Canis lupus familiaris: one gene and its partner. The protein of the gene in region 1 purifies or fractionates together with the protein of each later gene. This does not show direct contact. Links are inferred from orthologs where the notes say so. Each region holds a gene or a part of one and is shown on either strand. Other genes may lie near its edges.

The links. The genes of interacting proteins can lie anywhere in the genome.
Region 2: the proteins of PSMD5 (region 1) and PSMA4 fractionate together in Homo sapiens (co-fractionation; 3 studies listed by BioGRID). This does not show direct contact. The link is inferred for Canis lupus familiaris from reciprocal best matches to the Homo sapiens genes PSMD5 and PSMA4.

Annotation. Positions count from the first base shown.
Region 1 is NC_049232.1:74,283,089-74,288,833, forward strand, and holds part of PSMD5 (26S proteasome non-ATPase regulatory subunit 5), read right to left. Parts: intron 4,253-5,745; coding exon 4,108-4,252; intron 3,103-4,107; coding exon 2,989-3,102; intron 2,364-2,988; coding exon 2,235-2,363; intron 1-2,234. UniProt on the Homo sapiens protein: Acts as a chaperone during the assembly of the 26S proteasome, specifically of the base subcomplex of the PA700/19S regulatory complex (RC).
Region 2 is NC_049234.1:39,135,367-39,141,841, forward strand, and holds the end of PSMA4 (proteasome subunit alpha type-4), read right to left. Parts: 5' UTR 6,459-6,475; coding exon 6,456-6,458; intron 6,220-6,455; coding exon 6,177-6,219; intron 5,804-6,176; coding exon 5,641-5,803; intron 4,615-5,640; coding exon 4,537-4,614; intron 4,244-4,536; coding exon 4,155-4,243; intron 3,692-4,154; coding exon 3,561-3,691; intron 3,057-3,560; coding exon 2,933-3,056; intron 1,898-2,932; coding exon 1,743-1,897; 3' UTR 1,550-1,742; downstream 1-1,549. UniProt on the Homo sapiens protein: Component of the 20S core proteasome complex involved in the proteolytic degradation of most intracellular proteins. This complex plays numerous essential roles within the cell by associating with different regulatory particles.

The DNA of each region.
Region 1 (5,745 bases):
AGCCTGAATCAGCAAAATGATTGTTAAAAATCATTCATTCATACATTCTATTAGTCATTCACTCATTCCACAAGCCTGAGGGCTTTCTGAGATATAGGACACTGAAGGATTTTAAGCAGAGGAATGATAGAATCAGATTTGAGTTTTTAAAAGATCATACTGACTGCATCTGAAAATAGACAAGTGGTATCAACATGAGAAGAGACCAGTCTGGATGCAAATGTAGTAGTCCAGGTGAGAGAAACTGGTAGTTTTTTTTTTTTTTTTTTTTTGGTAAGATTTTATTTATTCGTGAGAGACACAGAGAGTGAGTCAGAGACACAGTCAGAGGGAGAAGCAGGTTCCCTGCAGGGAGCCCGATATGGACTCGATCCCAGGTCTCCAGGATCAGGCCCTGGGCCGAAGGCGGCGCTAAACCGCTGAGCCACCTGGGCTGCCCAGAAACTGGTAGTTTAAACTAAAGCGGTGGTAGCTATATCAAGGAAGAGAAATGCATGGTTTATTATTTTATTTTATTTTATGATAGTCACAGAGAGAGAGAGAGAGAGAGGGGCAGAGACACAGGCAGAGGGAGAAGCAGGCTCCATGCACCGGGAGCTCGATGTGGGACTCGATCCCGGTCCCCAGGATCGCGCTCTGGGCCAAAGGCAGGCACTAAACTGCTGCGCCACCCAGGGATCCCCTATTTTTATTTTTTAAGTGCATGGTTTATTTTTTTTTTTTAATTTTTTTTTTATTTATTTATGATAGTCACACAGAGAGAGAGAGAGAGAGGCAGAGACACAGGCAGAGGGAGAAGCAGGCTCCATGCACCGGGAGCCCGACATGGGACTCGATCCCGGGTCTCCAGGATCGCGCCCTGGGCCAAAGGCAGGCGCCAAACCACTGCGCCACCCAGGGATCCCATAAGTGCATGGTTTAATAAGTAAAACTGACAGTATGATGACCTAATGGATATGTGGTAGGGAGAGCAAGGCCTCATGCAGAGCCAGTCTGTTGCTATTTTTTATTAGAGCATGGGCTGGGTAAAGAAGCTTAGGAGTTTAGGGACGCCTGGGTGGCTCAGCGGTTGAGTGTCTGCCTTTGGCTCAGGGTGTGATCCTGGAGTCCTGGGATCAAGTCCTGCACTGGGCTCCCCTGCAGGGAGCCTGTTTCTCCCTCTGCCTGTGTCTCTGCCTCTCTCTCTGTGTCTCTCCTGAATAAATAAATAAAATTAAAAAAAAAAACAAAAAGAAGAAGCTTAGGAGTTTGGTTTGAATATGAGTGTGAGGGGCCTAGAATACATAGGTCCAAAGGGGGAACAGTCAGTAGGCAGTTGGACATGAAGGTCTGAGTTCAGAAGAGAGGTCTGGGTTGGAGGTCTATGAAGTCATCCCATGTAGATGGGAACTGAAATCATAGGATGAATAAAATTGCCTAGAAATGAATGTATAATGAGAAGAGGGTTTGGGAATTTACCTTCATGAATTCCAAAAATTAAAAGTTCAACAGAGGATAATGAACCAGGAGACAGAAAAGAAACAGCTAGAGAGGCAGAAGGGAAACCAGGATAGCATGGTATTAAGATATGCCCAGTAAGAAAGTGTTTTAAATAGGGAATCAGACTGTCAAGGGTTCCATTTTGAATATGCAGCCTCTTAACTATATGGCTTGGGTCAGCTACTGTATTAATAGTGAAGTCAGTGATAATCATGTGTAGGGTTTACCATAAAAATGGACAATATATGTGGAGATTCAGCACAATGCTAAGTACAGAGTGGGTGCAAATGAGTCATTTCTTCATATTAGTACTATTTCAAAGTCCAGTTTTGACATTATCTCCTATTATAGTACTTTACGTAGTCTGCCATGATAATTTTTTAGATGACTGCCTGACACATTAGGCTGAGGGTTCACCTCCACGTACCCAGCTATTGAATATAGGGTCTTATAAAGACTAGATGCTCAATAGATGGATGTTAACAAGACATCTTGCCTTTCAGTGGTAGCTCTATTGCATTCTGAATGGCAGGCATGAGAAGGGGTGCCTGGGGGGCTCAGTCGGTGGAGTGTCCAACTCTTGATTTCGGCTCAGGTCATGATTTCAGGGTCGTGAGATCAAGCCCTGCGCTGGGCTCTATGCTGAGCTTGGAGGCTGCTTGCGATTCTCTATCTCTCTGCCCCTCCCCCTGCACTCACACTCTCTCTCTCAAAAACAAAACAAAACAAAATAAAACTGCCTGCTTTAGTCTTACCTCATATACTCTGTATCGAACGATGTCGTTTGTTTTCATTACCCTTTTCAGATCATCCAGCAGATTGCTTTCAAATAAAGCCTCCAGTCCAGCTTGGGTTAGTGATATTTTTGACAGGGATTTAATGGCCTTATAAGGAAAGAAAATACCTCTTAAGTCATAAAGATGCAGAATACTTAATACCTACTTCATGAGATGGATGTGAAATTAGTGTGTGGAATGCATCTTGCTCAACGAGCACTATGTTTTAGTTATCATTATTTTAAACTGAAAAAGATACACATAGTATTCCCTATAGAAAATGCACGATGTGGGCAGCCTGGGTGGCTCAGTGGTTTAGCGCTGCCTTCAGCTCAGGTCGTGATCCTGGAGACCTGGGACCGAGGCCCATATCAGGTTCCCTGCATGGAGCCTGCTTCTCCCTCTGCCTGTGTCTCTGCCTCTCTCTCTGTGCCTCTCATGAATAAATAAAATCTTAAAAAAACAAAAACAAAAACGGATGACGTAAATTTTCTTACCAAGCAACCTAATATAAGTTCCATGATGGATAATTTAGATATGTGTATTTTAGAAAACAGAAGGGGTTTACTGGTATTTATATGACACCATTTACTTATCTGACACCATCTATGTGAGGCTGCAAATTCAACTATACAAATCATCCATCCTAAACTTCCACCCCTCAATCCAGAAGGCCTTCCTTTGTTTTTTAGGATACTCTGTGTGCTTAAGCTGATGGTTCTAGGTGACTCACCGCTTTAGCTACAGACAGATTGTCTCCACCAATACAATAAACGATCTGTTTTAGTAATTCGCCATTATTTAGAATCTCAGTAACAGCATCAGAATTCTCAACAATTCTTCCGACCTGAAATAAAAATGCAATCAGAAATTCCCTTAGTGTGCATTTATCTTAGGGGTCGATGATTCAGCTCTAAGACAAGCCATTAAAAATTCCAAATGAAAAAAAAAATTCCAAATGACCCAAATTCATTAAAGCTGAAGACACTCATGATATAGGCACAATACTGAAAAGAAAGACAAAAGTTAACAGTAGGTAAAAAATAGAGACACTCCAGTGAAAGAAGACAACACAAATTCTAGTTCTATCAATTTTTAGCTACAGACCCTGAGCAAATTAACTAACTTCTTTAGTTAATTCTTTACAGGTTTCTATCTGTAAAATGTGATCATAATACTTAACTGCAGGGTAGTTATGACGATGGAAGGAAACTAAATAGGATAAGTACCTACTATGGCGTCTAGCACATAAATGGTCAGAGAATCAATCAACACTTTCTCCTTTTTTGTTGAAATAATACCTCCAGGTGAGAAAAAGAAAAATAGTACTTGATGCCTCCTAGATAACTGCTTGGGTCCTAACATCTCAACAATATAATCCTTAGCAGCAACTCTTCACCCAAATAGTATTTTGGTTACTAGGGTTGTAAGAGTTACTGTCTCAATTTCTTGGTTTGGTGACCTTTACAATAGCACCTTTTTTATGCCCCTATAATAAGAGCTACTTTGGCAATTACTTCCTCTAGATTAGGAGCTCCCTGAGGGGAGGAAATAGGCTCTATTTATCTTGATAGCTCTAACAGTATATGGTACAATGTCTGGCATGTACAAGGAATTCAGTCAGCATTTGATGAAGGAGTATTTCAGACAATACTTACTAGAACCCCTTACTTTAGCCTGGATGCTCCTGCTTATAGTTAGCTACGCACACTAGAATAGACGAGACACCTCCTAGGGACACAGAGAGATCATGTTTTGTCTCTCTGTCTTTGGCACCCAACACAGAGCCTGGTCCAGAGCAGGCGGTCACTAAATGTCAGTTTCCTTATTATGTGCTAGTAAAATTTCATACCTGGGATAGAGTCAGAATTTTTACGGAATCATCGGGGTGAGTCAGTCCCTTCTGAAGGTCAGCTCCGAGGTTCCGGGCTATGTGAACCGGCTCCATAGCTTGGAGCAATCTCTCCAGAATGGATACACACAAAGTGGTCTGTTCCCTAAAGGAAATGTCATAGGTCTCATTAGTTTGTGTCCGGCCAGGTACAAAGTAACAACCTGAAGCCTGGCTCAATGAAGGTCTCTTCCACACCAGACTTCCTTTAAAATACTAACTTCTACCAATTTATTAAACATTTACTAAGTACCTATATATTCTCTAGCCTCAACGAGCTTAGTCTAATGGAAAATACAGAAAAACAGAAGGGCAATTATAATTCAGGTGGGTAAATATTATAGGTTAGGGTTGGAAATTCTGGGAGCTCAAAAAAGAACACAGGGATCAAGGAAGCCCTCCCAGAGGGGTAATAGCTGAACTAAAATTTTTTTTTTAAATATGAATTTTTTTTAAAATTTTTATTTACTTATGATAGTCACACAGAGAGAGAGAGGCAGAGACACAGGCAGAGAGAGAAACAGGCTCCATGCATCGGGAGCCCGACGTGGGATTCGATCCCGGGTCTCCAGGATCGTGCCCTGGGCCAAAGGCAGGCGCCAAACCGCTGCGCCACCCAGGGATCCCCTAGCTGAACTAAATTTTAAGAAAAAGTGGGAATTATCTAGAAGAACAAAGGTGTTCCATGTAGAAGGACATGAAGGGGTAGAGGAATGAGGTAGTGTTATACATTCAAGGAAGTACAGGGAGCTCCATATAACTGGGGTAAGAATGGGAGAGAAGTGGGGAGAAGGTAAAAGGGGAGGTATGAACAGGGAGAAATGAAACAGGAAAGATGCACAGAAGCCAGACTCTGATGGGGTTTTTTATCATCTACAGAATTCAGACTTTTTCCAGAAAGCAATGGCAAGCCACTAAGTGGTTTTAAACAGAAAGTAACTGATGAGATCTGACTTGAAGAAATTATTCTGTATTAGTTAGAGAAATATTTTTTCCGTTAGAAGGCAGGTGATGAGGGAGTGAAACAGTGTAGTAAGAAGAGATAGAGAGGCGGGAAAAGATTCACGAGGAATTAAAGATGTGAATTAATCAGAACTTGATGACTACCAGTTGTGGATATAGAAGGTATTTCAAGAATCACTTCTTCTCCTAATGGGCAGTACGTGTAAATAGCTCAGGCGCTCATATACTATTAACAGGAATATACAATTAAAGTGATTTGACTTTTCTAAAAGTTGATTAAGGGGCACCTGGGTGACTCAGCGGTTGAGTGTCTGCCCTTGGCTCAGGGTGTGAACCTGGGATCCTAGGACCGAGGCCCACATTGGGCTCCCCGCAGGGAGGCTGCTTCTCCCTCTCCTTGGGTCTCTGCCTCTGTGTGTCTCTCAGGAATAAATAAAATCTTTAAAAATATAAAAGTTGATTAAGCAATAGATGTAAAAAACCTTAAAAATGGACATAACTTTTTTAACTTTGGGATTCCACTTTGTATAACTGCACCTAAGGGAGTAATTAACAGTGTTTATACCCAAGATAACTGAAACCATATATCCACACAAGAATTTGTGTGTGGATATTCATAGCAATAGAAACAACCCA
Region 2 (6,475 bases), on another chromosome or scaffold:
TGCGCCCAGTGGTGCAGACGGAGGGTAAGCGTGCGGTGGGGAGGGCGGCTTGGAGGAGGAGCCACAGGGTAGAGACCAGGGAAGGGCTGTCAAGGCAGGGGGATGGGAGGTGGGCTGTGAGAAGGAACAAGCCGTCCTCCCTCCCTCAGCATGCAGGCGGCCAGGGCCGGGCCTGGGAGGCCAGTGTGGGGGGAGTGGCATCCACGGAGCAGGGCGACAGCAGGGCCGGCCTCCCCTGGGGTGCTCCCTCTGGCTGCTGTGCTGTGGGCGGACTGGGGGGAGACCAGGCGTGAGACCGCGCTGGCCGATGGTGGGGCCAGCGAGGCCCGTGGACGTACTAGCTCCCTTCTCCGTCTCCCTCCTGCACCTGCAGGCTGGCTGGCCACCCATGTCCACACCCGCGGACAGCGCCCTCGTGGTCACGGTGGACGTGTAGACGCAGCTGTGACACCTGAGCCACCTGGGGATCTGCCTGCTTCAGCTCCTTTTCTCGGCCTGTTTGTGCCAATTTGTCACATCACTGTGCTTTGCTGACCCTGCCGTCACAGTCCATGAGGGCAAGGCCGTGCTACCCAACAGGAGAGGGGGGACGCTGGGCACTGGAGAAGCTGGCGCGTCCAGGGTCGGCCATGAGATTAACGGATCAACATCCATCACACACAGAACACAGAACAGGTCACGTACGGACTGGGTGATCCGAGCCCGCTCATGGGCACTACCGAGGCCAACCTGGCCCTCCCACCGAGAGCTGTGCAGCACCTGCCCGTTCCTGGGGATGACACGGTCCCCGGGGCGGCCACGGCCAGCTGCCCACAGTGATGGGGTCCTTGGATTTAGAAGGCATACATCAGACGGGCCAGAGAACACCGAGGCAGGACCGGCAGCCGTGGGGGAGCCGCCCCGGATGTCTCACGAGCTCCGCGTGGTCCTCGTGTGTCCGCAGGGCTGACAAGCACCCGGGGGGCTGCACAGCACCCATGGCCGGGCTGCTGGGGGCAGGGGGCTCCCCGGCACGGGGTCAGGGCACCCGGTGGTGGTGGACGGCATGTGAGCAGTGAGCGCCCTCTCGTCATAGCTCCTCTGCTGTCCTCCCTGGTTCCACTCTTCCTCCGGCCTGGCCCTCGCCCCCCCACCCCCCCTGCTCAGACCAGTCCCTGCAGACAGAGCTGCCCGGGGCCCCTGCAGCCTGAGGAAGGGCCCCTGAGCTCGGAGTGGGGGTCTCGGCCTGACCGCCCCATGAGCCCACCTGAGCAGAGGGGCAGAACCCAGGGGGCAGGCCGTGCACACAGATGTGACAGGGACATATGGGGTCAGGGCACAGCCTCGGACGCCGGCTGGTGGCCACACGGGGTTTCCCGAGTCGCCTCACACTCTGCCAACAACTCACAGACGTGCTCATGTCTGGTATGAACCCCGTGGCCGCCACCGGCCGGCAGCACCAGGACGGGGAGGATCCTGCGTCCCTGCACTTGACCCTGTGGGACCCCCCGTAAGCAGGGCCCCCTCACGACAGTCATGGCTCCTGCCCCAGACGCCCCCCTTCACCATGGCCGTTCTTTCCAAGTTTTATTACCAACACAGGGAGGGACGAGCGCGTCCACTACGACCGAGCGTCACTACAAGACTCAACCGGACAGAGACGGCAGGCCTGCGCTGGTGCCCGCCCCAGTCTGCCCACCGGGCGAGGGAGGCCGGGCAGCGGGCACACGGCCCCGGAGCCGCCAGAGCCCAGGGTTCTCCTCCTATTTCTCCTTCTCTTTCTGCTCTTTTTCTTTCTTCTCTCGCTCCGCTTTCGCTTCTTCCTCCTCGTGGTTCTTGATCAGCTGCTCCACTTCCTTCTGCTTCAGGACCCTGATGACCGTCTTCCCGTTCTCTCTTGTCAGGGTGGCAATCTCCACTGCAAGTGAGTGCAAGCCTACGTTATGGGCGGGCACCTTGCCAACGGCTCCCCAGCCCAGGCGCCCGCTGCCAGCTGTGCCGCTGCTCCCGGGGACACGCGGGGGGGTGGGGGGGGGGAGGCTCGCACACGTACGCTCACGCATACTCTCGCACAAGTACTCCTGTGGGAGCTCTCACGTGTCCTGACAGCGACAGAGCACCTTCCATCCTGTGACGTTCCTGTCGACTCTCCTAAGTGTCCTCCTCACCCCCCGCAACCTTCCCACTCGCCCTTTGCCACTGTCACCAACCACTGGCTCTAGCTGGCCGGCCATTAGCTGCGATGACCAGAAGGCACCTCCACGTCCCTGTTGGAGCCCCTGGAGGTACAGTCAGAGTCGCTAACCCGTAATCACATTCATTGTTCACGGACCATTGAAAACTCTTCAAAACATAGGTATAAAAAGATCTTTCCAGGACCAAAGGCAAGAAAAGTAAACTGATACCAAAGGAGGGATTTTTGAGCAGGAGAAACCACAGAGGGCAGTCCGCAAGTAGACTGCATTTTCTAAGGACACCAGGAGCTTAATTATGCTAAACTGAATCAATCTATTAATTTACCACAATTTTTGAAAAATCCTTATTTAGAAATACTGTTTTATACGATCACATGACTTACGCTAAATAAAGTATTTAAAACTGCAAACATGGGATAACATAAGAGACCAGTGGATTCAAAAGAACAGAGAACATCACGACTCCTGCAAAGGTCGTCTCTGGATGAAGTACACCATCACCATCGTATGCAAACACACACACACACACACCAGGCGGCCGAGGAGCTGGTCAGTTACATACTAAAAGTATCTGCTTCAAACAGGTCAGTGAGCACCGAGAAGACTCTGGCCTAAGTCCTTGCGCTCAGAGGGTAGTATGGGCTTACGGTCAGGCCCAGGACCCCACGAGCCCGCGCATCCTCCCTCAGGAATAGGTTAAGGCCACTCAATCGCTCTCTCACTCAAGTGAGCCAAAGGGAGGAGTGGACACCAATTACCTTTTTCAGCCGAGAGTTTACTCACATCCATGGTCTTGTTTAGGACTTTGATAGCTAAAGCAAGTGCGGACTTCAGAGTCATTTCTCCTTCTTTGTAGTCTTGTTTTAACATCGACACCGCTGCCTATGAAACATAAAGGAGAATAAAAAAAAGAGTTTCCTTTAAATTTCTAGAACATGGATGGGTCAGAATAATAATGGCTGAACCACCGTGGGCACTGTAACCAATACCCACACTTCTAAGGGCAGGGAGGGCAGATGGGATGACAAGGGGGTTGTCGCTCTATGAACGGGATCTGTAACCTGACCTCCCCAGGCCTGCAAGGGGCCCATCACATAAGTCAAAGGGTCTGAGAACTAGGATGTAAAAAATAATTACATCCCATTTCCAAAACTTCCCACTGAAAATCAGCACTTCCTTTATTAAAGTTCCTTTATAAACGTAGACAGTAAGTCCCAGTAGTATTAGCAGTGCCTGTGACTTCGTTACCAACAGAAATCCAATGTTTTCACATCACAGTAAGGGTGCGGCAGCTATTCTAGAACAGTTTATACTCATGGCTACTTCAAAATTATGGGGGTTACTAGATCTTTTGGCAGATTTTATAGCAACCCCCAAAATACTCACAGCACTATTGTTTCCGATGCACGTGGCTTTCCATCCTCCATAATTCCCACTAGGGTCACTCTGATAGAGCTGAAAGCCATAGTGCTTGTCCCAGCCGATGTAAAGCAATGAAACACCAAAGGGACGTTTTCCTTTAACAGCAACGACAAACAACGTATCAGCCATCTGAATCCCGTATCACTATGGTTACCTGAGCCCACGAGCAGGACCAAAGCGTCCTCTGTGAAGTTAAGCATTCATAAACTGCTTCGTTTTCTGAACGCCACAGCTAAGCTCCAGCCAAAATTCCACTTTTGTCTCTAGGATTTGGACGCAGCCAAGAAAGAGAATAAAGACACAGAGGACCAGTGCTGAATTTCATTATTATGTAAAATGCAATTTGTTTCCAGATTTGAAAATGGCATTATGGCCTTCCAGCATCTATTAATAAAACATAGGACAATCTACATAGTGGAAGCCAGTAAATTGGTGAAGCAGGGATTTATGTGAAGTATTTTCTCATTTCATTTTCAATTTCTTTTTATTATCTCAAAAAGGTTATGATTCATAAGGTGGTTTAACTTTTTGGAATACAATGTTCAAAAAATTCAGTACCTCCAAACTGTGTATAGGCTTGTTTGATATCACACAGTGCTGTGACCAACTGCTCACAAGGGATTGGTTCCTGATACTGTAATAAATACCTATAATAAAGAAATTGGCATTTTAATAGACTTTTCTCTAAAACACAGACACCCCCTAAGCAAAATACCCTCTGAAAGAGATCTATGCCACAGGGACAACTCCACTGTCACCTGTAATTTGAAAAGGCGGGGAGAGTGTAGCCACAGCCTAATACCCTTAAGGTTTTATAGCTTTGGTTTAAAAAAACTTTAATTTTCAATGAATAGACTTTTTAAATGATTTAGATCTTCACAGTTCTCCTCAGAAACATGGAAACTCACTCATTTATGTATCTTGCTATTTACGACCGTACCTTTGAGCAATGAGCCTCAGTTCATTCGTGAGAACGTTAGCATCAGAAGTTATGCCCGCCACGCTGCAAGCCATGTCCCTGGAGGAGAGGACAGACGTATCTGTAAGCAGGGAGAGGTCTGCCACAGGTGTTCACAAGCACTAAGGTACAAGTGCATTGTCACAAATGCACCACGATGCTCCACAGGAGCTTCACGATGACAGACTTTCAACTTGATGTCATTCCACATGAAAAATAAAGGCTCCCACAAATTCTTCAACAGATGTATTTCTCATTACCACCCTGGGCACAGGCAAGAGACAAGCACTAAAGCAGCTAAAGTGAGCCCAAGACTTGTCAACAGATGGGAAGACAGGCTGCTCCACGTCCTCCAGTATCTGAGCCCAGCGTGATGGGGGTGAAGGGGAGGGACCTGCAGGAAGGGTGTTCTATGAGTCTGCCTGGCAGCCAGGACGAGGCCGGGACCAGGGATCCCAAGGGGTCACCCCAGCGAGCCAGGAGACAGTGGCACTGTGCACAGACAGCACCCCTTGGAATGAGCCTCCCAGGAAGGGCCCGTGCCAGCTGCAAGGTCCTGCACCGCTGACTGGAACAAACGTCCCCGGGTGTACAGGGTTGGCTACACTGTTCCCCGACCTCGGGGAGGCCTGGCGTTTGGGAAGAGTCAGCAGAACTCCACAGAATTCCTGAGTAGCCATTCTGAACAAGGCTCTGAAGCCTGCCACAGGCCACTGTGCGAGTTTATATTCATTATGGTTCAAACTGCCATGACTACTCTAGCTGAGACCCAGAGAAGTTAAACAAGCAGCGTAGAATCACACAGCTTCTAAATCAACCCAGATCTGAGTGACGACCAGCCTGGGCTCCTGTCACTTCACGATGTGGGGCCTCCACTGAGTGCTTCGTTCTGTACTTAAAAAGAGAAACATGTGGTTCCTGGGCCCCAAAGAGGTTTTAACAATAAATTAAAAGCAAAATCCCCAGAGATAAACACAAACTGTTCAATTGTACCATGTCATGGAATAGCCCTCCCGAAATACGTACAATGGCACTTATGTGAGAAAGTGAGACATTTTATACTCCCTTCCCTAAGATCTCACTTACTCATTCAGTTTATAAATTTTTTCAGAAAAAAAGACTTCATCAAGAAGCTTGTGGATGTTGCGTCTTTCTGCTGCAAGCAGAACACCATCGTTTGCTAGGATTCCCAAGCAGGTGCCTGCATGTCCAATGGCTTCCATGGCATACTCAACTTGGTACAAGCGACCTACAAGACACAAGCAGTGAGTCACCAAGCAGCAGCGCTCCTAAGGGAAGCAGTGCCAACACCGGCAGGCCACGGACAGGAGTCCCGCTTTCACCCTTCTAGGAAGCATGCGACCAACCAGGTGATCGCAATTAGTCCAAAGTACAAGAAGAACGAACAACTTAGCAAGGATTTAAAAGGAAAGTTTGTAGGCAGGGGCGCTTGGCTGGCTCAGTGAAGCATGTGATTCCTGATCTCAGGGTCGCGGCCTTATGCGGACTGTAGAGATTACTTAATAAAATTTTTGATAAAGTCTATAGATTACCCCCCCCACCCCGGTCAAATTCTAAAGAAATCTTTTTATTTGAAATATCTTAAACAATTTCCATTTTACCTTCTGGAGAAAATATGGTGGTCCTGGAGTCATATCTTCGAGACTGCAAAGGAAAAATATGGAAGTGATTCCTATCCACCAGAAGTAGGCTCCTGCAAGTCCACTAACCACCTCATAAAACAACCTGGCAGGCAAAGCTCAGTGTGTGGGAGGAAACGCATAAGGAAGAGGACACCATCCCAGCCCCTTTCCCTTCCATTCCAATTTTCTCATGCACATCTACAGATACAAACAATAAGATTTATCAGGCAACAGCTTACTGGCATGTGTATCACTCACCATGTTTTCTGAGCTTTACA